Linked DNA regions of Drosophila melanogaster. The protein of the gene in region 2 interacts with the protein of the main gene of each other region in a pairwise test. Each region holds a gene or a part of one and is shown on either strand. Other genes may lie near its edges.

What was found.
Region 1: the proteins of Cp190 (region 2) and mod(mdg4) interact in binary tests that used the Drosophila melanogaster proteins (3 or more experiments, as listed by UniProt).
Region 3: the proteins of Cp190 (region 2) and CTCF interact in a two-hybrid assay, tested with the Drosophila melanogaster proteins (3 studies listed by BioGRID).

What each region holds. Positions count from the first base shown.
Region 1 is NT_033777.3:21,373,497-21,380,642, reverse strand, and holds the start of mod(mdg4) (modifier of mdg4), read left to right. Parts: upstream 1-3,241; 5' UTR 3,242-3,355; intron 3,356-3,566; 5' UTR 3,567-3,610; coding exon 3,611-3,824; intron 3,825-3,901; coding exon 3,902-4,041; intron 4,042-4,730; coding exon 4,731-5,583; intron 5,584-7,067; exon of another isoform or gene 7,068-7,146. Other genes in the region: tin (tinman), read right to left, coding at 1-309, 1,212-1,396. UniProt on the Drosophila melanogaster protein: Component of the gypsy chromatin insulator complex which is required for the function of the gypsy chromatin insulator and other endogenous chromatin insulators.
Region 2 is NT_033777.3:15,268,866-15,278,209, forward strand, and holds Cp190 (centrosomal protein 190kD), read right to left. Parts: upstream 6,377-9,344; 5' UTR 6,260-6,376; intron 5,926-6,259; exon of another isoform or gene 5,747-5,925; 5' UTR 5,652-5,746; coding exon 5,250-5,651; intron 5,192-5,249; coding exon 4,192-5,191; intron 4,127-4,191; coding exon 3,186-4,126; intron 3,126-3,185; coding exon 2,178-3,125; 3' UTR 1,567-2,177; downstream 1-1,566. Other genes in the region: Zip88E (Zinc/iron regulated transporter-related protein 88E), read left to right, coding at 1-146, 216-475, 539-740, 872-1,250, 1,320-1,330; CG4338 (uncharacterized protein), read left to right, coding at 6,749-7,573; MRG15 (MORF-related gene 15), read right to left, coding at 7,720-8,705, 8,749-8,864, 8,921-9,035, 9,096-9,168. UniProt on the Drosophila melanogaster protein: Plays a central role in chromatin domain organization and boundary function through recruitment by a range of insulator DNA-binding proteins, including ZIPIC, pita, CTCF, su(Hw), cliff and others.
Region 3 is NT_037436.4:7,352,173-7,359,796, forward strand, and holds CTCF (CTCF), read right to left. Parts: upstream 4,542-7,624; 5' UTR 4,409-4,541; exon of another isoform or gene 4,288-4,408; 5' UTR 4,286-4,287; coding exon 3,895-4,285; exon of another isoform or gene 3,834-3,894; coding exon 1,870-3,833; intron 1,808-1,869; coding exon 1,706-1,807; 3' UTR 1,406-1,705; downstream 1-1,405. Other genes in the region: qm (quemao), read left to right, coding at 63-221; pst (pastrel), read right to left, coding at 5,366-6,203, 6,274-6,443, 6,519-6,608, 6,679-7,217, 7,296-7,624.

The DNA of each region.
Region 1 (7,146 bases), 6.1 Mb from region 2:
TAGAACTGCGAGGCGGACATGTTGTAGGCCGAGGCGGAGTGCTGGAAACTCTGGTGGGGATGTCCGTGATGGTGCTGGAACATGTGGGCGGGCATACCGTAGTCCTGGTATCCGCCGTACAGCTGGTGCGGCGGGGGTGGCAAGAGTGGCGATAGGGACGACGATGTGGTGGCGCCATCGTCCAAGTGTTGGTGATGCAGTTGCTGCTGCGGAATCGGCAGCTCGGATTGCTGATGCTGCTGGTGGTTGAGGTACTGGTGGGGATTCTGGTACTCACCGGCGGCGAAGAGCGCCGAGGCAGTCGCCGCGCTGCGGGAAAGCAGGAAAATGGAAAAGCGCAAGGTTAGAAACAAGGCAATACAAAGTCTCGTATATGGCCGCCATATGTTGCATCACGGAGGACACAGCCCGGGGAGCTGGGACGAGGACTTTTTGCCCACTTCCTGCTGGCGCGACAGGATCCATGGTGACATCATTTCATGGCTCATCAGGCAATTAAGGACGCCCCTGTGCGGCGGTCCACACATGCGAATCACACATGTTGACCAGCCCAGAAGGGATCGGGCGGACCAGCGATCGCCGTGACTCCCGACTGCCTGCCTCGGACATTGTTGTTCTTATTGTTAACACTGTCTCTCCTCGTCTTTGTCTTCGGCCTCTTGTACAAATAACGATGATTTGTCAAAGCCTCGAGCTCAACGCTCAACGCTTGACGCTCTCCGATCCCAGATCCTATTTGCAATTCATGCTTTCTATGTGTTTTCATAGGATTTCTTCTGCTACGTCTCGGCGGAAGGTTATCAAAATATTATCTTTCTTTGGAAAATTGGTAGAAATTAATTTTCCTATGGAGCCCTATTAAATAAAAATAAATAAAAGCGATCGGGACGGGGAAGGGCGCTGTCTTCGAGAAGAAGTCACTGACAGGTAGAAGTGGTGGAAATGTCCATGTATGCCAGTTGATAGCTAAAAATGGCTCAACTAACAGTTGGTCTCTCTCTGAACTGCACAGATACCTTCTTAAATCATTGCAATTTAGATAGTTAACCGGTATAATAATTAGTTTTATATCATATATGTACACTGATTCGATTTAGTAGATTTTGGTAACATGTAGAACACAGTACCTTGGAACTAGTCTATTGGTGTACCCCAATTTTTAGTTGCTTTTGACCCTTAATGTATAATTGATTCAAAACTTCCAAGCTTACCCATCGATATGCCCGTAGGAACCTTCGTAGGCCTCCGTTTGGTTGACCATGTTCAGGATATCCTTGACCGAAAATGGAGTGGTGTTCAGGGCATCCGCGTTCGTCAGGCTGCCCGGACTGGGGGACTGAGTGTAGTGATCGTAGTAGCCACCCGATTGAGCCTGCTGCTGATGGTGCTGCAACATCCTCGCTGTGCGATCACTTGGCCACTTGAGAAGCACTTCGATTTAAATAAGTCCAACAATTTGCCAAATCGCACTTGAACTTGCGACACTTGAATTGGAATCTCGGTAGTCCAGTAATCGAGCAAACACTCCACGCAACCGTTAGCGCAACCGTAAGTGAGTCGTAGCCCGTAATCGGCAATCAGTAGTCCGTAACCCGTAAGCCGTAAAGCGCCGTTCCGATGCGCACTCGACCGTGTCTGCAATTTGTCAGCTCGATTTTGGTACTGAACGCGTACTCCTTTCACCCCAGACCGCCTCATGCCACTGTGTTTTTGGATGTGTGTGAGCGAACTGAGCATACGGGCAAAATGGCCGCCCCGGAGCCAATCACAGCACAGCATCGGAATGCGAGTGCGGCATCTCGCTCTTCTGCGCTAGAGATGTGCGAGGCTGTCATATGCTTAGGAGATTTATAAAATATGTATCCAAATATAAAAAACTAATTTATGTATTACATTTGTAAATTTAATCTAATAGCTTAAGAATATATATGGTATTGACAATATATTTTAAGTTCTGTCCATCACTAATTCCAAACATGTATGCTTGTATGCATGTATGAAAGTATCTTTGCACAATCGCACACATTGTACCTGACTATCAGATTCAATAACCGACTCCTCCAGCTGCTCCCCGTTGTTATTAGTTGTTTGTTCGCAGCCACTTTATGCTGATTTTGTTTCGCTACTTGAGCTTAAGTATCCGTATTTATTATCGTAAAGTCCTTAAGTTTTATAGTCCCCATGTATTTACGTTTGTCCGCGCGTCTTGTGTATTAAACGGTTGTCAAGTGGCGCTCAAGTGCAGATTTTCGCACACTTGATTTTAAGAGTGTACTAAGCTAACAAATAAATAAATCGTGGGGAATATGTTTGGTTTAAACGTTACGCTCTCATATATTATTGTTTATTTCACTTGAAACTGTTATGATTTAATAGAGATGAATAACATGGATATGTGAAGTTGTCTAAATAGAGCAACATTTTTAATAATATTTCGCCTTTATGGGATGAATACCTTCATTTCGAATCTTGGCATTGCACCAAAAACGTGTTCACATATGTATATAATTGCATATGTAGTGCATATGTACATACAGTACACAGATATACATATTATGTACATACATATTTTGTTTGGTATGTTTAAGAACTTTTAGCGAATATTTGCCTTTCTTATAATCCTATTAAGTCACTTTTTTTTTAAAAATATAGTGCCCTTGTGCATTCAGAGTGTAGGGTTTACGTAGTGACGATGCGCTCCATAAGAGTTTGTCAGAGTTATAATGAATTCCGCTAGAAAATAATCCTCCATTCGTAAAAAATCGAAGGCCCAGTTTAAAAAATAGGAGAATTTAAAAAAGTTAAAATTTTTCTGTTTATCTTATGAATTTTATTCTAGTTGTGCTAGTTTGACTGCTAGTCTTTAAACTCGTTAATTTGTATTTTGTTTTATTTCATTTAAAATAAATTAAACATTAAGCTAGACAACAAAACTGTTGTGAAATAAGAAATTTCGTCATAACATAAATACATCGTATACTTAGGCCGATATTTTCTTAGTCCTACAACCTTTTTTAACACACCCGCAAACTAAAATCCTACAGCATATGTAAACTAAAGTATGTAAAAGTTTTCAAAAAGTTATGAACTTAATTATGTGATTTTCGTACTAACATTTAAAAAAAAAATATCAAAGCACATCAACTATCAATATTCATAAAAGTATTTCGATATAAATATTTTAAGCTATCGATATATTGTCACTTTTTGTTTTGCCATCGCCAGCAATCTCGTCGCCTGGTAACACTTCTAATTTTCACGTCAAAGAACTCGGACGCGTTCTGCGTGTCGGCCGCGCTAGCAAAAAACTCTGGCTTTAGTTAGTTATTTTATTGGAAAAATATTTAGTCAAGAGGTGAGTAATGGCGCCCCAAGTGAATATACACAGTAGGTTGCGGTCATTAAGCGAGATAAATGTAATTTACACACACGCACACACAGACAGACGCGTGAAAATTTCCCAGTTTTTTTTGGCTGCAGTGCATTCTATTTTGTGTGTGCCTTTGCCATTTTTCAGCACTCGCTGCATTGAGTTTTAAACGCGCATTGCACTTTTTCGCCTGCAGCCAACAAACGCATAGATACAGAAAAGTATTGATTTTCGTCCAAGATGGCGGACGACGAGCAATTCAGCTTGTGCTGGAACAACTTCAACACGAATTTGTCGGCCGGCTTCCACGAGTCGCTATGCCGCGGCGACCTGGTGGACGTCTCGCTGGCCGCCGAGGGCCAAATAGTGAAGGCCCACCGATTGGTGTTATCCGTCTGCTCGCCCTTCTTCCGCAAGATGTTCACTCAGATGCCGTCGAACACCCACGCTATCGGTGAGTTTGTGCCCCTCAGCTCAGATCTGTAGCTCTACGTGATTTTTTACCTTATACTCTCTTCGCCTATCTTGCAGTATTCCTGAACAACGTCAGCCACTCGGCGCTGAAGGACCTCATCCAATTCATGTACTGCGGCGAGGTCAACGTGAAGCAGGACGCCCTGCCCGCGTTTATTAGCACCGCGGAATCGCTGCAAATCAAGGGGCTAACGGATGTGAGTATATGTATACATTTGTGTGCGTGATATACTGGTATATCGAATCGAGCAACTACAACGCAACCTTTCGCGCCCAATACATACAGACGCGATGGCTGGCGTCTGTATAAGAGCATGGTTTGACTGTACCGAGAAATTTCTCGCAAACCAAATGCCAAAAGGCACGCGTGCCAGAGAGAGACAACTGCAGGGGCTATACGCGAAGCGTTTGTCTCGCTCTGGCTCGCACGGCAGCGGCAAATTGGAGTGGTTGTTTTTGTCTCGCAGCGAATTCGATGCCAAAGCATAAACATTTTTTGCTTTTAAACTAATGTTTAAATTGGGAAATATCTCTTAATGTTTTCGACTAAAATTAACGTATTTGCAAAATTAAATTTAGTGCAGCTGTACCTAAAGAAACAGGCATCGGAACTAGAAAATGTATTATTGTTTCCCAATTCAAGGAAGGCGTACTTTACTAATTAATGGCCAGATTTCTTATTTCTTTGCAAATTCCATTCTAACGGAATAATTCTTTTCAACATATAGTTTTGAAATCGTCCATTTTATTAAATGCAGATACTTTTAAAGTTTATTAAGTTTTGATCGTGGTTCATTTTTAAAGAGGTGCTAGAACATACAAAATATCTTTTCACTTATTCCTAAAATATATGTTAATAATTAAAAAACCAATATTTTTTTTTCAGAACGATCCTGCGCCTCAGCCGCCGCAGGAATCCAGCCCGCCGCCAGCAGCACCTCATGTACAACAACAGCAAATACCGGCTCAGCGGGTGCAGCGCCAGCAGCCTCGCGCCTCCGCCCGCTACAAGATCGAGACCGTGGACGACGGCCTGGGCGACGAGAAACAGAGCACCACCCAGATCGTCATCCAGACCACGGCCGCACCCCAAGCCACCATTGTACAACAGCAGCAACCGCAGCAGGCGGCGCAGCAGATCCAATCGCAGCAGCTGCAGACGGGAACCACGACGACGGCGACGCTGGTGTCGACAAACAAACGCTCTGCCCAGCGCTCCTCCCTGACCCCCGCCTCCTCGAGCGCCGGCGTAAAGCGCTCCAAGACAAGCACCTCCGCAAATGTTATGGACCCTCTCGACTCGACCACTGAAACTGGAGCCACGACAACCGCCCAACTTGTGCCGCAACAGATCACCGTGCAAACCTCTGTGGTCTCTGCGGCAGAAGCAAAGCTCCACCAGCAATCGCCGCAGCAGGTTCGACAGGAGGAAGCCGAGTACATTGATCTCCCCATGGAATTGCCCACGAAATCTGAACCTGACTACTCTGAGGACCATGGCGACGCCGCCGGCGATGCCGAGGGCACCTATGTGGAGGACGATACTTACGGAGACATGCGCTACGACGACAGCTACTTCACTGAAAACGAGGATGCTGGCAACCAGACTGCGGCAAATACGAGCGGTGGCGGAGTGACGGCGACCACTTCCAAGGCTGTGGTCAAGCAACAGTCCCAGAACTACAGTGAATCATCGTTTGTCGACACCAGCGGGGATCAGGGCAACACAGAGGCTCAAGGTTGGTTGAATTGCAAAGCATACATGGCCAGAGGCCAATAGATATAAGCAATATTTAAAGGACATTAAGTCCGCTTGCGAAATGCAAACACGTTAAAAAAAAGATCACATATGTATTCCAAACTTGAACACTTTCCAAATCTATTAGCGTCGCAAGCGGATCATGTCCTTTTAGAGTTCGGCAAAGTGCGTTTAATTTTGTTTTGAACAAACTTAAGCTATACTTCGCTGGCCATTAGTTAATAAGTAGTTTACGGGCCTGTGTTCTATTTCGAATCGACAAAGAGCACTAGGCAGATCTGCTGTCCGATGCATATTTGTTAAATGCTGGACGGAGATCGCGCGGTTTTACACTTATTCAGTTAAAAGGTAAGTAGAGTGATGAAATTTTAAGAAGCTGCTACGATGGATATCTGATGTCAACGTGAAGCCGAACCCGTGAAGAGCTGCAACTACTCAAGGTAATACCGGCACTCTTAAAACCACACCTATCCATATATTTTTCCAAAATTTGCAGGCATTTGTAATTGTTTATTTGACTGAGCAAAGCGAGTAATTGGAGTTTTCAATCTTACATGATCAGGGGGTTATTATTTGGGCATGCGCATTTCTGTTTAATAATGATCCTCTGGTGATGCTAAGGCTACTGAGGTTTGTTGTTATTTATGTTTTCAAACTCGTACTTAAAGATGTTGTCTGGATTTGTTTAAGCAACGTAAAAGCTTGCTGATGCAAATCCAGCAACGGCATTGATTGCCGAGTCTTAAAAAAAAAATTGTATTTATAACGCTGTGTTATAGTAAAGGTTCATTTCTAATCGTTTTAGTGGTCACGTAAAAAAAAAAGGAAAGATTTTAATAATACGTATAGGGAGACTCTTTTAACGTTATCAGTGGAGAGGAAATTTATTTCTTCATGCAGCGTCGATTCTGTTTTACTTTTTGCGTGCTGATTTTGTTTTTTCATTCCAAATTTTTTGTATGGAACATTTTGCGTGTTTTTTTTATATGGTTCCGAATTAAAGGGTGTCTGAAGAATTTCACGATATTTACGGATGTCGCGGTAACCTTAAACAAAAAAAACAGAATATACTAGACCTCTTACCTAATTGGTAAGAGATAATCATAAACCGTTTTAATTCATATAGGCGATAGTTTATATACCTTGGAACAAAAGGTTGGACCGCCTTGAAGCATTTCCGACTTATATTTCCTTTATTTGTAGTAGTAATTTTCGTTTTTTTATTGTTAAGCGTATTTGAGAAAATTTATATTAACGTTTGAATCGTGTAATTTATATTTTGCGCGCCTGGTCCGGATATTTAGAAAGTATCCACAGAATATATTATATATATATTTGTAGTATGAAAAAATAAAGAATTAAAATTTGAATTAATGCGGAGTTGCCATTTTGTGGAAATTGAGGACGGTGTTGCCACTTCCGGAAACCCTAATTGAATGTGCAGCCCTGGTGCTTCGGCTGTGTGGCAACGCCGTGCAAATTCATTAAAAAAATGCAAGCCAATTTGTTTTGTTATTTTATTGCATCCGAATTACACGGCCTA
Region 2 (9,344 bases):
TCGGACTCGGGAGTCTTTTGTTCGGATTGCTGCCCGCCTTTATATCGGAACGGAATCGTCGCCGCTTCCCGCTGACCGCATCCCTGCTCCTGTGCTTCGGAGCGGGCATTCTGCTAGCCACCGCACTGGTGCACATTCTGCCCGAGGTAAGAGCTTGGACTGCGATCGTGTGTGTGGCTGCAATTTGATAACCTGCTGACTTACGCATGCAACAGGTGCGCGAACAAATGGACTCGAAATTCGCTGAGGTTGCCATGTGCGGCGGGTTCTTCATCATCTACTTTATCGACGAGTTCATACACTACTTCTTTGGCGAGGCCATTCAGCACACTCATGCCCACGATGCAGAGACTCCAGCAACCGAGCCACCAAGACGTCCCACTAATGACAATGGTTATGGCGCAGTGGACGAACGAGCGCCCCTTTTATCAGCGGAACCCAATACGTCACATGGGCATTCGCACCATCATAGCCAGTAGGTTTATTGCATTTCCCTTCCCGCAGCCAAAACTAATTGCTTTGTGCTTCGATTACGCAGCGATCATGACCACAATCACCCGGCCAGCGCATCTGGCTGTAATGATGCCAGTGTAGAGGACGCCAACGCCCGCATCTGCCACACCAGCCACACGGAACCCTGCGCCCAATCCATGACAGGCACTCTGGGTCTCTTTGTCGCCCTGTCACTGCACTCGGCCATCGAAGGACTCGCCATCGGCGTTCAGAACTCTTCCACAAAGGTCTGTGCCGCCTGCCTTGACATAGTTAGACTAGATCGGCTATAGTGCGCAATCTTAGGCAAATATTGAAGCAAAGAGATGCGAGGGCTTAGTCCAATTAGATAACCGGAATCTGCTTTGTCTCGTCGTAGGTTCTGTTTCTTCTAGGGGCCGTCGCCTGCCACAAGTTCGTGATGGGCTTTTGTCTGGGGCTCGAGTTCCGCTCGAATCCGCAGACGAGTTTTCGCGCCCAGTTCGTCGGCATTTCGGTGTTTGCCCTGGGCGCCGTCATTGGCATTGGCCTGGGCATGCTTATCGTGGACGTGCCCGCCGCTTGGTCCAGCAAAACTCTGCCTATCGTCCAAGCTCTGGCCGGAGGCACACTCTTCTACGTCACCGTCTGCGAGGTGATACCGCGCGAGAAGGCGCGCTGGCACTCGAACTCAACGCGACGCTGGGCGGGATTTGCACAGTTTGCAACTGTGCTCGCCGGCTTTGCGACCATGTGCATCATAAACTTTTATCTTTCTGGTGCGTAGCATTATGTGATTTGCATTTCCCTTTCGACATTGCTGACCTATTTTCTTCGCGCCTTTTCAGATGAGGATTAGACATCTTTTCGTTGAGAAATCGTTTCAGCGCTGTGAGAAAATGTGCCGCTTTTTAAACTTAGAACACTTAGGATAATATTATGGATTGGCAGCTGTTAATCTCTTGTGTAAGACTTGTTACTTGTGCATTTCCAACTAATCTTGTTTTAGGTACATTGTCGATCTGCCGTAGGATAAGTAAAAAGTTCAGTCTTCTCGTCTACATTTATATTTTCTCTTTCTCCAAAGTTTGTGTTATTTTTTATGCTTTTATTATATGTAATAAACCTTACAATTAAGTTGTTAATCAAAAAAAGGGCATCCTCTTTTCCTTTTGATTAATCTTACTTAGCCAACCATTAAACGCAATCATTTTATTACTTTCTGGGGACATCATGTCACTGTTTTAAACGAATTAAAACAACATCTATGTAACTACATCTCTATATGTATGTAAATAGGCATATGTGTATATATATATATAGTGTTTACCTAATCGTGAAATGTTGCTTGGTTGCTCTATTGGTGGTGTATGTGTGAAGAAACGGACACTCATAAATAGCTAAATGTTGGGTTGTTTGGTCTCTGATCTCTCATTTAAGGTCATTTGGGGAACTCCTCTTAGATTTACGATTTTCATGCTAGCAGGGCAACATACTTGGGATGGGAGGGGATTTACAATTACGTGAGATGAGTAGATTAGATCTTATACACTTAAACCAGTGCATATGCATATCTTATCATTCACCTTGATCTTCATTAACAATTTAATTTACAATAGAAACCGAAAATTCGCGCCGAGCTCAGGTGCGTTTATCTGCTGACCTGCGTTGAATCGCCAAACTTAGAACATAAATAAATCTAGTAATTATAGCTCCTCCTTCGCCGCCGCACTAACCCCATTCTCATCCTCGTCCTCATCGTCGTCACCCCATTCGCTAATGAGGCTCTTGACCTTGTCCACGCTGGCTGCTTCACCTGACGTTGCTTCATCACCTGCTTTTGCACTTTCTAGTGTCGGCTTTTCTGCAGTGGTTACATCCTGTGTCTGGTTTGGTTTGTCCTCGACGGCTTCCTTCTCGTCTGCCGTTCTAGTATCTTCATTATTTTCGGCTGCTTTTTCCGCTGCTGGTTCATCAATCTCCATTTGTTCGGTAGATACCTGCGTAGGTGGCACCAGGTCATCCTCGTCCGTTACTGACCTATCTAACGCCTCTGTCGTCGCATTCTCTTCAGATTGAACAATGTCCTTCTCCTGATCAGGTTTCTCGGCCTCGGCAATTAACTCATCTAGCAGCTCTTTGCGTATGTTATCGGCCTCTAGATGCACATCATCCTCGCCCTCAGAGGCAGTTACCGCCTCTCTTAATTCCGCCACGGAATCGGAATGCGGAATTGGTGAATCCTCTTTGATAAATTCCTCTTGATCGTTTTCAAGCTCAGCCTCTTTCTTGATCTGGACCTCGGCCTTCGAAGCCTTCTCGTCCGCCGCTTCTGAGTCCACATCCATTTTCTCGGGCTGACTATTTATATTGGGGACTGCGTCAACTGCATCGTCCGCACTGGTGACAGACTCCTCACTTGCCTTTTCTTCAGTTGCCTCTTCGGGTCCCTTGTGTAGAGACTGGAGAGCCAAGTCAATATCATCTTCTTCCTCGTGTACTGTTGGCTCAGGGTCCTTGTTGGCTAGTTCGGATGCAAGCTCTGCGGTAGCGGGCTTATCGTCGACATCGTCATCGTTCTCATCCTCCGTCCAGTCGCCGGTAAGCTCCTTTAGCTTTTCACTAATGTCATCTCGCGGCTTATCCGATTTTGGCTGTAAGTTGTATGACTCATGTTGTAGATGTACTTGCATAAAAGTGTTTAATAAACTCACCTCCTTGTTGCTCTGTTCTTCAGACTCGGCTATAAGGTTTTCGGCCCATTCCAGGTTGTCAATGGACTCTTTGCTTTCATCAGCAATGTTCTTTTTGGCGCTCTCCACAGAGTCGGCAGCACCCAGTTCGCTATAGATTTGACTGTCATCATATTCCTCTTCGGTGCCGGCCAGGGATTTTTCATCGGTCTCCTGCTTGACGTGCTCCGCTTCTGGCTCACTGAGCACCATTACCACACCGCCGGCAGTGGCGCCTGCTTGCTGCTGGTTAAGCTGTGAGAGAATCTCTTTGCGCTGCTCATCAGTAAGCTCCACCTCATTGCCATCGGCGCCCACGAATTTGACTTCCTGCTGCACCTGTTCAACATCTTCCTCTTGCAGTTGCTCCTGTTGAGCTTGCTGCACTGTGATGGCACTGGTGGCTGGTAGACTTATGTCCGAAAGGATTCGCACTTTGCCAGTCTGCTCTGGTTCCTGCTCTTCGTCTCCTTCGGCCTCTTCCTCCTCGTCTTGCGAGCCGAGGAATTCTTCGTCCGTTTCATCGATAATGCCATCCTCCAAAGCCTGCTCCTTGTGGTAGCTCTTCATGTGTCTGTACAGCTGCAGCTCTTGCTCGAACACCTTGTTGCAGTAGATGCACTGCTGCTTGTTGTCGTCCGTGTGCACCTCGTTTATGTGCGCCTCCAACTCACCCTTGGTCCGGTAAGACTGGTTGCATAGCGCGCACTCGGCAAACGTATACAGCAGCGACTTGGTCTGGTGCTCCATATACATGTGGAAATGCAGTTCCCGGTTGTTGACAGACCTCCACCCGCAATGCTCACAAAGCGCCGGATCAATTGTCTCCTTGTGCGTGTTGATCAGATGGCGTCGGAAGCCTCGGTACGACGGAATGCTAATGGGTCGTCCGTTTACGCCGCATCTCAGGCACAGCCAGGGCCCTGAAATATAGATATTCATTAGTAGTTGTTTTTGGGAACCTATTACCTACAAATGTTGTACTCACCAGTAGTATTCTCTGCTCCCTGAGCGATCAAGGCGTGCATTGTCTTACTATCAATGCGTCTCTTCTGGGCTGCGGCTGTATTTGCTGGTGGATTCGCCCCGGTTCCCTGGTTACCGGTTGTCTGCGAGGTTCCCGACTTTTGCTGAGAGCTAGCCGCCTTCTGTTGTGCTGTGATTAGTGGCGTACTCTTGTCGGCTTTGAAAGAAACGTGCAGTTTCTTGTGTGGCGATGTAGTTGCGGATGACTGGTTCGCCGGGGGTTTTACTGTCGCTGGAGCAGATTTTTCGGTCGGCGCTGCCGGGGTATTGGGCATAATCTTTAGCTTTATGTTTTTGTGGCCCTTTACAATGTGCGGATACTGGCGCAAGACTTCGGCAATGATCTTGGTGTGATTCAGCTTGGCGTTGGAGGAGTCCTTGACAATTATTGTTGGGGTCTGGCTGGGTGAGTCCTGTTTCAAGATAATGGTGGTGGATCCATGTTCTAGTTGGGTCTGTGTACCCTGTGGGGATTGCTGCTTAGATGTAGATGGCTGCGGTGGCATATCATCGTCATCATCGTCCCCGGCATGGACATCATCATAAAGCATTCCTCCATCGTACTCAGGATCGTTATCTCCGTACTCAGCGGCGATTTGCTTTCGCATCCGTTGTTGCTCAGCGAATTCCTTAACCTCTTCCAAACTGGGCTTCTTGGATGGCGGCGATAGCAGGCTTGTCTGTGCTGGTCTCTTGTTATTGTTATAACCCTTTCGCAGCTGCTCGAATGGTGACGTTGGCTCCTGCTTCACATTGCTACTATCTCCATACGGCGAACGATTTGAGCCACCTGATGTTCGGCTCATTGTGTTGCCAGTTGACCCGCGCTGTGTGTTGGCTCGTTGCGCGATGGGTGTGGCTACGTTTCGCGATTGCGGCGAAGGACCCAAGACGCGCTGTTGTGGAAGACCCGAACTGGGCTGTCCAACTGTGCGCCGGCGTATTCCCTTTGGACTAGGCGGCTAAAGAAAATAAAAGGTTACAAAATATTTTCACAAATGATGAATTGCCACCACTCACCCTTTGCTGGCGATTAACGTTCTCCATGGTGCGACGGTGCGCCTCTAGCAGCTTCAACAGCACCGTCATGTTCATTTCCTTGGCGGTGCGCAACAGCTTGCCGTACATTTTAAGCTCAAACTCCAGGGTGCCTGTGTACATGAAGTTGACAATGGGCACCACCACGTCCGCCTGGAACTCGTTGGGCATGATGAGGGCATCGTCGACGATCTCGCAGGTCTGCTCCAGTACATTGAAGTAGTCGGTGCAGGCGCTGAGCACCAGACGGTGTACCTTTAGCTGTGAATTGTCCCGAAACTGCAGCGTCAAATCGCAGTAATCCGTTTTATTAAAGAAGTTCTGCAGCTTCTGCAGGAAGAAGACTCCCCAGTTGTCCACTTTCACGGACTTGACTTCACCCATATTGCTGTGTGCTTGGCTAGTGGCCGTGCTCTCCGTTTCCGTATCCTTATCGTTAGCCTCCCCGTGGTTTCGCTTGCTCTGGCTTCAGGGCGCAACTGTACTCACGCAGGGGTAAGGAGTCGGAAAAAGCGTATTGGGATGGGACGCAGGTGAATGGGTAAAACAAGAAAGAATAACAATTAGTAAGTATGGTATATTCCGCTGTTAGTTTCAAATAGACGCCCGTTGATTTTGGGTTATTCGGTTTATTTTGCTCTGCCGCCACGGCGCGAAATGCAACTCGCAAATATCGATATACGCCTGTGTACGTGTGACAGTTTCGCGGGCGTATGTGTGCGATGTGCGCGTCGCCAGGCTTCTTGTATTATTTATCAGTAATTGTTCATTGTCCGCAATTCTGCAATGTTTTCTTGTAAGTCCAACTTTGGCATCTTTCGGTGGGTGGCATTTTTTGAGCCCTTTTGGCGCGCCTGTCCACTTCACACAACAATGGTTTTTTTGGGGCACGCACAAATCACTTTGACCTCAGCGGCTTGTTTACTGCGTGTCCTTTGATTGAATGTACTTTTTTCAGACAATCGCCGCACAATTGCACTTTTAATACATACATTTCTTTGAATTGCACACTACTTTTGCCGGACAAATTATAATTTTTTTCCAGAGTCAGGTCGCCATATTCTTTTCCATTCATCGTTGGCGTGACAGGGTTGCGCTCGGCAGCTATCGATAGCCATGCGATAACCTCAGTCTCATGCTTAACATTTTTAAGGTGACGTAAACGCAGATGAAGTTAATCGTTAAGTCTAAAAATATTTGAATATGATATACTTTAAGGTTATTGCAGTTTAAGCTAAATCTTACTAAACACAATACATATACTTAAAATACTTTAATAAATATTGTTTTGCAGTTGAAAACAAAATACATTTACTTAAACTATTGAAATTTTGAAAAGTGACATCGTAATGTGTCACATTTCTTGCGCCACCCTTCTTTGCAATCAAAATATATAAAACGGGTCGTCGGCTTGGCCACCACGAGACGTTAAAAACACTTTGATTCTTTTTTGCTTTGATAAAGTTTTAAACCAAAACATAATGAGTGGACGGAACCGCGGCAAAGGAAAGAAGGGTGGAGGAGGACCCTACCGCAATGTCAAAGCGAATCACAATTGTGCCCGCAGCTTTGCTCAGCAGGCCAACGAGCTGGCCAGCAGCAGTAGCAGCGAAAATGAAAGTTCCGACTCGGAATCCTCGGGAGATGGAGCCCAAAATGATCTCGGCCAGCCGCCGGAGTTTGCGGTGGCCATGTGGGACCTCAACCACTGCGATCCAAAGAAGTGTTCGGGCAGGAAACTGGCACGCCTAGGACTCATTTCAAATCTTCGACTGGGTCAGAAGTTTCCTGGCCTTGTCCTCTCGCCCGTTGGCCAGTTGTGTGTAAGTCCGCTGGATCGCGATGTGGTGGCCTCTTCGGGCGTGGCCGTGATCGACTGCTCGTGGGCCAAGCTGGACGAGACGCCCTTTGGAAGGATGCGCAGCCCACATCCGCGACTGCTGCCCTTCTTGGTGGCCGCCAATCCCATCAACTACGGAAAGCCCTGCAAGCTCAGCTGCGTGGAGGCCATAGCCGCCACTCTATACATCTGTGGATTCACGGAAGAGGCTCGCTGGTTTCTGGGCAAGTTCTCATGGGGTCATGCCTTTCTGGAGCTAAACGACAAGCTTCTCAATGCCTATGCAGCCTGCAAGAGCAGCGATGAGATTGTTAAGGTGCAGAATGAGTACCTGGAGAAGGAACAGCAGGAGCGGGATAAGCCTAGGGATCTTCGCGACTTCTATCCCACCAGCAGTAGTAGTAGTAGTAGCGAGACGGAGACCGAGGGCGATGATGAAGACACAAAAGCGAAACCGAAGAACTAATACAAGGTGCTGACATTTATTACCTTATGACAAAACATTTTACTTGTGTTTTAATTTACAATTTGGGAGCAAATTGAGAGCAACCACCGAATTATTGCAAACTGTTTTGATGAAATATTTACTTCAAGTCAAGAAAAGATTATTGCTTACTGTGCATTTCGCACGTACTCGGGATCAACGTTGATAAAGTTGCTCATGCTGAAAAATATTGAGCTGTTCTTTACGAGGAATTTAAGGAAATCCTGCACGTGCGTGAGTAGGTTCTGCATGGACTGCTGATCCAACGCAGAGTAGCTGAGCATTGAGCCAAGGCGGACAAACAGACGCAGCAGGTGAAAAGATCCGTAAAGCTCGGACAACGGTGTGTCCGGATGCTTCTGCATCACATCCGCGTACTGGGTGCGTTCGAATTTGTACAGCAACTGGGAGCCCAGCATTACATTGAAGTACTCTACAATTCCGTCGAGTACATCGTTTATGGCAACCTCCTTGCTGGCACTGGTCGATTTCACGGACTTCTTGTGCGCCAAATACTGCTCAGAGATCTGCTGCACGGTAACCTTGGCGGGCAGCTCCAGCAGTTTGTGCTCCCGCACCACCGCATACCAGTCGTCGGTCAGATAGTGCTTTAACTCGTCGGGTATCTTAATCTTGACCTCCACCTTAGCTGCGTAGGCCTCCTCGCTTTCCACACACGGTGCCGGCTCCGTGGTGGGTGTGGATGGAGTGGTAGTGGGCGGCAACGGCTTTTCTGCTACATCGCTTCCCGTAAGAGAAGGCCGTTGTTCGCTCATTCTTTTCTTTTTCGGCGCCACCGGCCCCTCTTCCTCAGTGGTCTCAGCTGCGGCGGGGTCTTCCTTTTTATCACTCGGCGTGCCAGGTCTTGCTGTGGATGGCGTCGATTGTGTGGACTTTCGGTGGGCCCGGCTGGTTGTAGAGTTGGCGGTGCTGTTAGTAGTCGTGGTGCCAGTGCTCCCGGCTTCCGATTTGCTTCCCGGTCCGGCGCTAGTTGTTGGTGTGCTGCTAGCGGTCGATTGCGAGGTGTTGCTATCCTTAGACGGCGTCGAGGCACGAGATTCGTTCCGCATCTGTTCCATTTTCTTGGCCTTGGCGCTGCCTGGTATGTAAACACCTTAATTTACAACTCCAGGAATTGCGTTTGTTACTGAACTCACCTTTCTTATTATCCTTCTTGGAGCGCTCGCCGCACTGGCGAGCCAGTTCCTGACGTCGCTTGACGTTGTCATCGTTGTACTTGAGGACTCGGTTCTCGGGCACCCACTCGTCCCAGCTGAAAATGAAATGGCTTTCATGCAGATCGGTGTTCATACTAGTAGCTTTGCTCACTTTTTACTCCAGCCCGCGTAGTGGATGTAGTACTCAACCGGCGTCGCATCGGGTTTTGTTTTCAGAACCTTGGCCTCGTAGATGAGCGGTCCGTGGAAGCACAGAACCCGTTCCCCTGCAAATGGCGCCAATGTGTTTAATTTGATTTATAGTTGGGCTTAAGTTATTGCCCTACCATCCACGAACAGAGTGTTTGCATCGGTCCCCGTGCTATAGTTTTCCACTTTAGCGGGTTTTACTTCTCCCATTTTATTTTCAATAATAGATAATTAACAAATCCTAGAGTGACCGTGCGTGACGCATAGGGCTATCGGATGGGACAGTACCGATGCACTTATCGATTATTTACAGGGTATTGTCTTGGTAGATATTAACAATATTGATTTATTTATGACTATGTACATCAAACAGTCTGTTTTTATGG
Region 3 (7,624 bases), on a different chromosome or scaffold from region 2:
CACACATCCCATCGTTGCTACGTGTTTTGTGCTAAACTAAAGTAATCTCTCAACCCACACAGGTGGCTCGTTTGGGTAGCAATCCGTACATGGACCGCCTGCTCAACAAGCTGCTGTCGTGGAAGACGAGCGATAGCGCCAGCATCACGCAGTCGAACCAGATCAATCACAACAACGTCTCACGCAGCAGCCCCAACCAGAACACGCTCAATTGCAATTAGCAGCCAAAGAGGCAAAAGAGGGAGCAGTCGTGAATTGCGAACGGCAGAGCCTCTTTTGCCGCCAATCCGGGACAGCAGCAGGCCAGCAGCCAGCCGACGCCTGCGTGCCTCAGTGCGCCCCTGTTGCGTTTCCTGCAGAAGCTGAAGATATTCTGAGATTTATGTTACCCTTTGCCAAACCGAAAAGCCCACAGAGAACCCCTACCTTACTGTCAACCGAAACCAGAGCGATGAGAACGGAAATAGGAGGAGGATAGGATTTGGATTTGATAGTGAATCGGATGAAATGGGATGGATAACAAAACCAACAGCAGCCTTACAGAAAATTGTTAAGCCAAAAGTAAATTGATATAAGCCAAGCTTATCGTTGAGCTAGCAAAGAGCCATATTACAGCTTTCCAAGAATTTGTTTTTTTACTTTTACATTTTACTTTATACTTTTAATTTAGTTTTGCTTCAAAGTTACGTAGTTAGTTAGCTCGTTTAGTTTCCCCAGTTTTAGTTTCGCCCAACGAATGGGAGAGGGGGGGGGGGGTGGGGATCAAGCAAATCTCGCAGAGCATTACTGAATTATAGAATATGCAATTTTTTAGCTCTTGTATTTCTAAGTGTGTTTCGTATTCGTAACTCAATTCTGCAAGCAATTTTCAATTTCTAAGTGTCATTTTATCAAATCTAACTCACTCGGAACTCAATGTGCACTTCCTTTATCGACGTTGTTCCATTTTAATTGTTATACAAATGCGATTCGTATACATACATACATATGTACTATTAACGACAAATTGTTAATGTTTTATGCAGACACTATAAAATCAACACAAATGAACGCAACTATATATATTGAAATAATGATAATGATGCACTGCACGGCAGGTTTTTGCACATTGCACCACCTAAAAAATATATACATATATTATATATAAAAATATATATATTTTTATTGTAGTTATACACATGAAAGAAACAAAAAGAAATAAACGGCAAGAGAAACCGGAAAAATAACAAGAAAATTAACCAGATTGCTGAAGTGGAAATGGAAAACTATAAACTATGCGAACATTTTACGGTAGAAACGACAACTAATAGCCGAGAATTTACAGTGCACGCCCAGATGCAGCTAAACGCAAACGCACCTAACATTTTGCCCATATACTATATACTACTAATGAAAACATTGAAATATATGTAAATGTATTTAAATAAATATTTATGCCAAGTTGTCAACTAAAGTTTAAGTGTCGGGGATCATTTACAAATAGTCGCCATATCGGCATGTTAACTGCTTATCCAGAATTATACATTCATTTAGAAAGAATACATTTTTAATATCCATTTCTTAACCTAGTAAAAATAGGTTTCCTAACTGTTTTAAATGTGTATTTAAATAGAAAACAATGTAACGTAGAAATACGTTATTGTATGCTTGGTATGTACATAAGTTAGTCATAATTACTTATCCATTAGCTTTTGTTTTCAGGAGACTAAGAGTCCTGCTCAATCATATCCATCAGCTGCAGAAACTCCTGGGAAGCGCCATCGACCTCGTTTTCCCCATCGCCATACTCCTCATAATCATCGTCGTCCTGCATGAAAACCAAATTTTTGAGTAATGGAACAAATGCCAGCTAAAGTTTTTGCAACTAACCTCGAAACCAAAGCAGTTTTTGGCACTGATCTTGGAGTTGGCGCTCGGTTCGTGCTTGACCAACACCTCCTCGTCGCCATTAACCAGCTCTACGACCATTACCTCGCCATCATCCCCTTGCCATTCCACGGTGAAGTCCGAGTTGTCCGGCTCCTCCTTGATGTGGAACGTCTTGGTGCCCCGTTGACTTCGGAGGCGTTGATTGATGATCATCGGCTGCTTTTCGGAGGCGGCAAGCCTGGCCTGTTTGTTGATAATGATAGGTGCTGGCTTGATTCTCTGACGGATCGGATCACTGACTATGGTTTCCACATCATCATCGGCGTCTTCAGCCTCCGAGTTCTCCGGCTCGATTTCAGCCAAGTCATAGCTCTCTGGGTTGTCATCCTCTTCGTTTTCCTCCTGGTCCCGGTCCATATCCACATACTGATCCTTGATCAACGTGATGACAGTGCCATCTTTCTGCAGCCGCACATTGCGGCCCAATTTAAGGCGACGCCGCTTTTCGCGAGCATTCGCCGAATCATCGTGAGTCTCCATGTGTCTCATTAGATTACCCTTGTGGGTAAACTCCCGCGGACAACTCGGACACTTGTGCAGTTTCTCGCGCGGTTCTGGTGGCTGATACTCTTCGTTGTGCACGAGATTCATATGGCGGCGCAGCAATTGACGCTGCCGGAAGGCCTGCGGGCACTGATCGCAATGGAACGGCTTTTCGTCCAGGTGGATGAGCATGTGTGAGGCCAAATGGCGTTGGGTGACCGAAGCGTAGCTGCACAGCTTGCAGCTGTAACACTTTTCGCCCTCGTGTGACTTAACGTGCAGCTTGTATTGATAGCGATCGGGCAGCTGCTGGCCACAGCGCCGGCATGTCATTGGCACATCAGAGGTGTGCATGTGTTTAATGTGAACGCGCAGGTCAGCCTTCCGACCGCAAGTCGTCGGGCAGTAGTTGCACTGAAAGACGGGCTTGTCGACCACGCTGTGGATGAGCTTGTGGGCCTTTAGTGAGTTAGATTGCGTAAATCGCGACTTGCAGATGTCGCATTGGTACTTCTTCTCGCCGGTGTGGATAACCATGTGTCGCTTCAGCTTGAACATGTCCTGCGATGCGTAGGTGCAGTGCGGACATTGATATGGTCTCTCGCCCGTATGGCAGGTCATGTGGCGGCGCAGTTTGGTCAGTTCCACGCTGGCGTATGTGCACTCCGTGCACTTGTGCGGTTTTTCCTTAGTGTGCTTGTAGCGAGTGTGACGGACCAGCTCGCCGCTGGTGGTGAAGGCGCTTTCGCAGAGCTTGCACTTGTGCGGCTTATTGCCCATGTGCGTGTTTATGTGGTTTTGCAGGCCCACGTTCGATCGAAAGGACCTCTCGCAGATGGAGCACTTGAAGGATGGCTCGACGTCATGACTTCGTGAGTGGCGCGTGATCAGAAACTTCTTGCTCGCCGTATACGGGCAGTGTGGGCATGAGTACTTATGTCCCGATGCATTCGAATTCTGGCTGGTAGAAGAAGCTGTCTTCAGCTTCACCTCCTTGTTGCTTAGCACAAAGTCTACGTCCTTCTTGTCGGCATTCTCATCCTCTGTCGTCGCATTGTCCTCAAATTCGTAGACCTCAGCCTCGTTTGGCGTCAGCGTAGCTGTTGCTGCCTCTACGGCAGCTTCGTCTACGGTATAGTCCGACAATTCTGTCACCATTGAACTGATGTCGGGCTCATCTACCAGCTCCTCGAGCTCCCGCTCCAAGTCCATGGGTTCAGGCTTCGGTATGACAGGGTTCTTTCTAGGCCTGCCCCTGGGTGCCGGTACTTTGACCACTAATGCCGGTGGCGGTGGCATCGCCGATTGCTTCGCCTTGGCTGCAGCTGCTCGGGCTGGTCGAACGCTAATTGCCTTGGGTTCTGGGGGAGGCTTCGAAGTAGTCGCTTTCGGTGTCGATTTGGCTGGCCGCAAATTGATGGCTTAAAAAGAGTCGAGCAAGTGATACAAATGCACGCACATATATGGCAAAGGGTAACTCACATTTATTGGTGGCTGTACTGACCACGGAACGTGTAGCTTTCCCCGGCTTGGCAGCCGCCTGTTTGAGCTTCTTTTGTAGCTCCTTTTGCTTCTTGGGCGTAGTCTTGATATAGCAGTTGCCCTCGTCATCTATGAAATACTTATCCTCGTCGTCCTCCTCCTCCTCCTCCGCTTCCTCCGCATGATCCAAATCAGCCTCCGCCTCCTCCATCGGTTTCGATCCACCAGCCTCCGCACCATTTTCATCCAAGTCGATGGCCTCGGCGCTGATGGCCTCCAAAATCGTGTTTACCACCTTCTCATCGCTGTTGCCTTCGATCTCCTTATGGAAATTGTTGAGGAAGGTCTGCAGATCCTCGGGGTCCTCGTCCTTTTTTGTCCTCCTTGGCATTCCTATGGACAAATTGGATTTGTTTTGGTGGCGACCCACAGCGGATGACCGGGATCCCGAAGAGGGCGCTTATCGATTTCTCGCAACGACCAATTGTAATCCCGCTTGATTCAATTCACCTACCGACACTTGGTTGCCAATAAAAAATATGTTGAAAGGGACGCCGGTTGTCGTTATTGTTGTTAAATCTACAATTTAATTTGCGTCCACATGAAACAGCTGCCCATTTCTAATAAAAGATGGCGACATGTAGCATCAGTACCGCCAGCTATCGATAGTTCGATTGGTTTCGTATCTTGTCATCTCTATATAAACTATCTTTAATTCTTGATAACAGAAAATATATAATAACGAATCCACGGTAATTTATTAGATAAAAAATATAATCTGTATTCTTTTGGATACTGGATAAGCCAAGGATTTGGGCTGCGTAAGCGGTTTTGATGTCGCGAAAGCCCCTGCGGATGTTTATGTCTGTTGGATTGGGTGCCCTCTTGAGTGGATGGATCGCTCATGGGTACTGATCAGCCGAGAACTTGAGCTGCGTTAGCGGTTTTGACCCTTTGGTGGGAATAACGGATTCGGCAGCAGATGTTAATGGTTACATTAGGGCAGGCTGGATTTGTTATTGTCACCAGAATTGGGGTTGTTCTTATGGGATACTTGAATTTATGACTTATATTCTAAGGCATTCAATGATTTGGTGGTATGGCTGTTGCTATTATACCATAGTATAGATGACATCAGATTGTAAATTTAGGAATTACTCTTAAAGATTAAAAAAAATCCCCTTTACACAATGAATGATTCACATATTCTGTGTTCGAAAACCGGAAATCAGAACCATTCCGGTTCAAAATTCTCCTTTTATTACAATTATTTCAACAGGGTTAATAAAATCTTTATTTAAATGCTAAAACAATTTCATCTTTGTCAATTTGTGCTCATATTAAGTAAGTTATCCCATTGATTATTTGCGGAACTAGCTAACGTTTCTTTGTGGTTAAACAATTGGGCATCAATTATGACATGCTGATGGCCCTTGAATTCTAATGTTAAACGAACCATTTCGTTAAACACTTACAAGGGACAAACGCTGAAGTGGCCGATACATTTCGGACACTTCTGAAGGAGACCCGGGAACGCATTTGGATTCAGGGACATGAAGTACACCCTTACGGCTTCTACGATCTCACAAGTGTGATCCGCAATAACCGAAAGTTGCACGTCCTCGAAGTTCCGTAAAATGTACAACAAAATGCGGTAAAGAACGGATTCCGTTGATATAAAGAACTTTAGCACCGAGGTGAGGTCTTCCAGCATGGTGTCCATGAAGGCTCTGGTCAATAGCATTATATGGTCAAAGACTTTTGGATCAAGCTTATTGGCCATGATGTTGATTAGGCTCTCAAAACTTTCAGCATTGATCACGTGCTCAAATATGATTTTTCCGTATTTCTCCAGTACGAAAACAACACCGCCCACCAACACAGAGCTTAGCTCCAAGGCGAACACGCCGGCGGCATAGGTACTGGGTTCCTGTCGAGGATGGGATGTGGGCAGCGGTCCGATTAGACGGGAAACCTGATTAACGCCGCCCAGTTGAAGGCGACCAGAACCCGCATGGCTACCGGGAATGGGCTGACTAACTTTGCCTAGGACATTCCCTCCTTGGTTATGTTGTACACTAGCTCGCAATTCCGCACCCGTCGTCTGCACATCGCCATTTAGTAAAAATCCTTTGCCATCGGGTGCGAATGAGTATCGCACGCCCTCCTGATTCAAGTTTTTGTTGATCTTAAAAAGATCATTAAACTCTTGTGGCGAAATTTCGTTTACGTTGCGTATAATGTCCAGTTTGCCGCGAGTGTTGCCTTGCATCCGAACGGTCTCCTTGGCAGCCTTGTCAAAGGTTCGCCTGATGGTAAAAAAAATACAAGTAGAAACTCTTGTTTACGACAGAATGTATCTCATTGAACGTTTTTTACCGCTGCCTATTAGAAAGGTTTTTACGATAGTCGGCAATATTAGCATTGCTTGTCTCATTAATTATGGTCGAAGCCAATTTAAAGTTGTAGACGCTGTGCGTGAGCAGCACCAACGAAGCGGACAATTGCAAAACATCCATCGCAACTATTTCGTCACCGTCTTTTGCTTTCTGTGGAAGATCATAAATTTCATAAGTTTAATCTATCTAGCCTAATCTAATCACAGTCTAAGTTTCGAGACTTGCCAATATCAGATCCAGCACACCATTGGCAACTCCAGTGCCCGATACCACAATCGAGGATATGTTCATGCTATTCACAGTCAGTTGGGTGATCTATGTGAGTACATATTTAACATTTTTATTCCATTGTTGATTGCGTGGGGGGGGGGGTTTAAGGACTCACCGCTCCCACCTCGCGTCCAGCATTTGTGGCCGTTGTCAAGACTGTGGTGGCCCCAGCCGCTGCCAATCCCACAGTGCCACCAGCCACGCCCAACCAGTGACCACGCGCTTCGCGGTCCGTCACATTGATAGACTGCTCATGTTGGCTGCGATCGAATAGCTTGCTGCCAGACCGCGATGCGGCGTATCCAGCACTGGCCAAACCTACTACTCCCGCTGCGCCCATCAGCGGAGCGGATACGGGCAGCGTTAGCAGGGCAGCAATGGGCACACAGGCAGCAAAAAATCCTCCGACTGCCGACCCAGTATCCAGGTAGCCCAGCACCTTCCTGTTGGTCGTGCCCGCCGGCGTTGTGTACTTATCCAGACGTACTTGATCCCTGACCAAGCGGTAAATACCCTTCTCTGGGGCCACCATCACTCCGGCAGGCAACTCGTTGGTGGTCACATACATCTCCCAGTTTTGGTAGACCCGACCAAGCTCGTCGATAAACAGATTGCAGCAATTCGAGCTGACGCTGCTGGTGCCACTACTGCCAACTGAGTATTAAATGGATCCATTGATAGATAGATAGGAAATATATTGTAAATTGCATACGTATGCAAAGGATGACTCACCGACGCATCGACGGGCCCGAAAGACTGGGTGCACGCTGAAGACTCTGGCGTCCTCGGCGCGATTGACGTCCGTTTCGTCAGTTACCACCATTACGTAAATGATCGCCGTCAGCGATTGACGGTTGGTATACTTTCCTGGAAAACAATTGTACGCAGTTAAGGCAGCGAAAAAATGTACTATACTATATACAATCTGTAAGTCCAACTCACGTTGCTGCCAAACGGAATCGAAAATGATCTGACGGGCGCGCTCATTATCTGCGTTGACCTTCAGCCGGATTTTTCTGTCTTTTTCAGTTTCCGTTGCAGTTTTCGGTTCCGGAGAATCA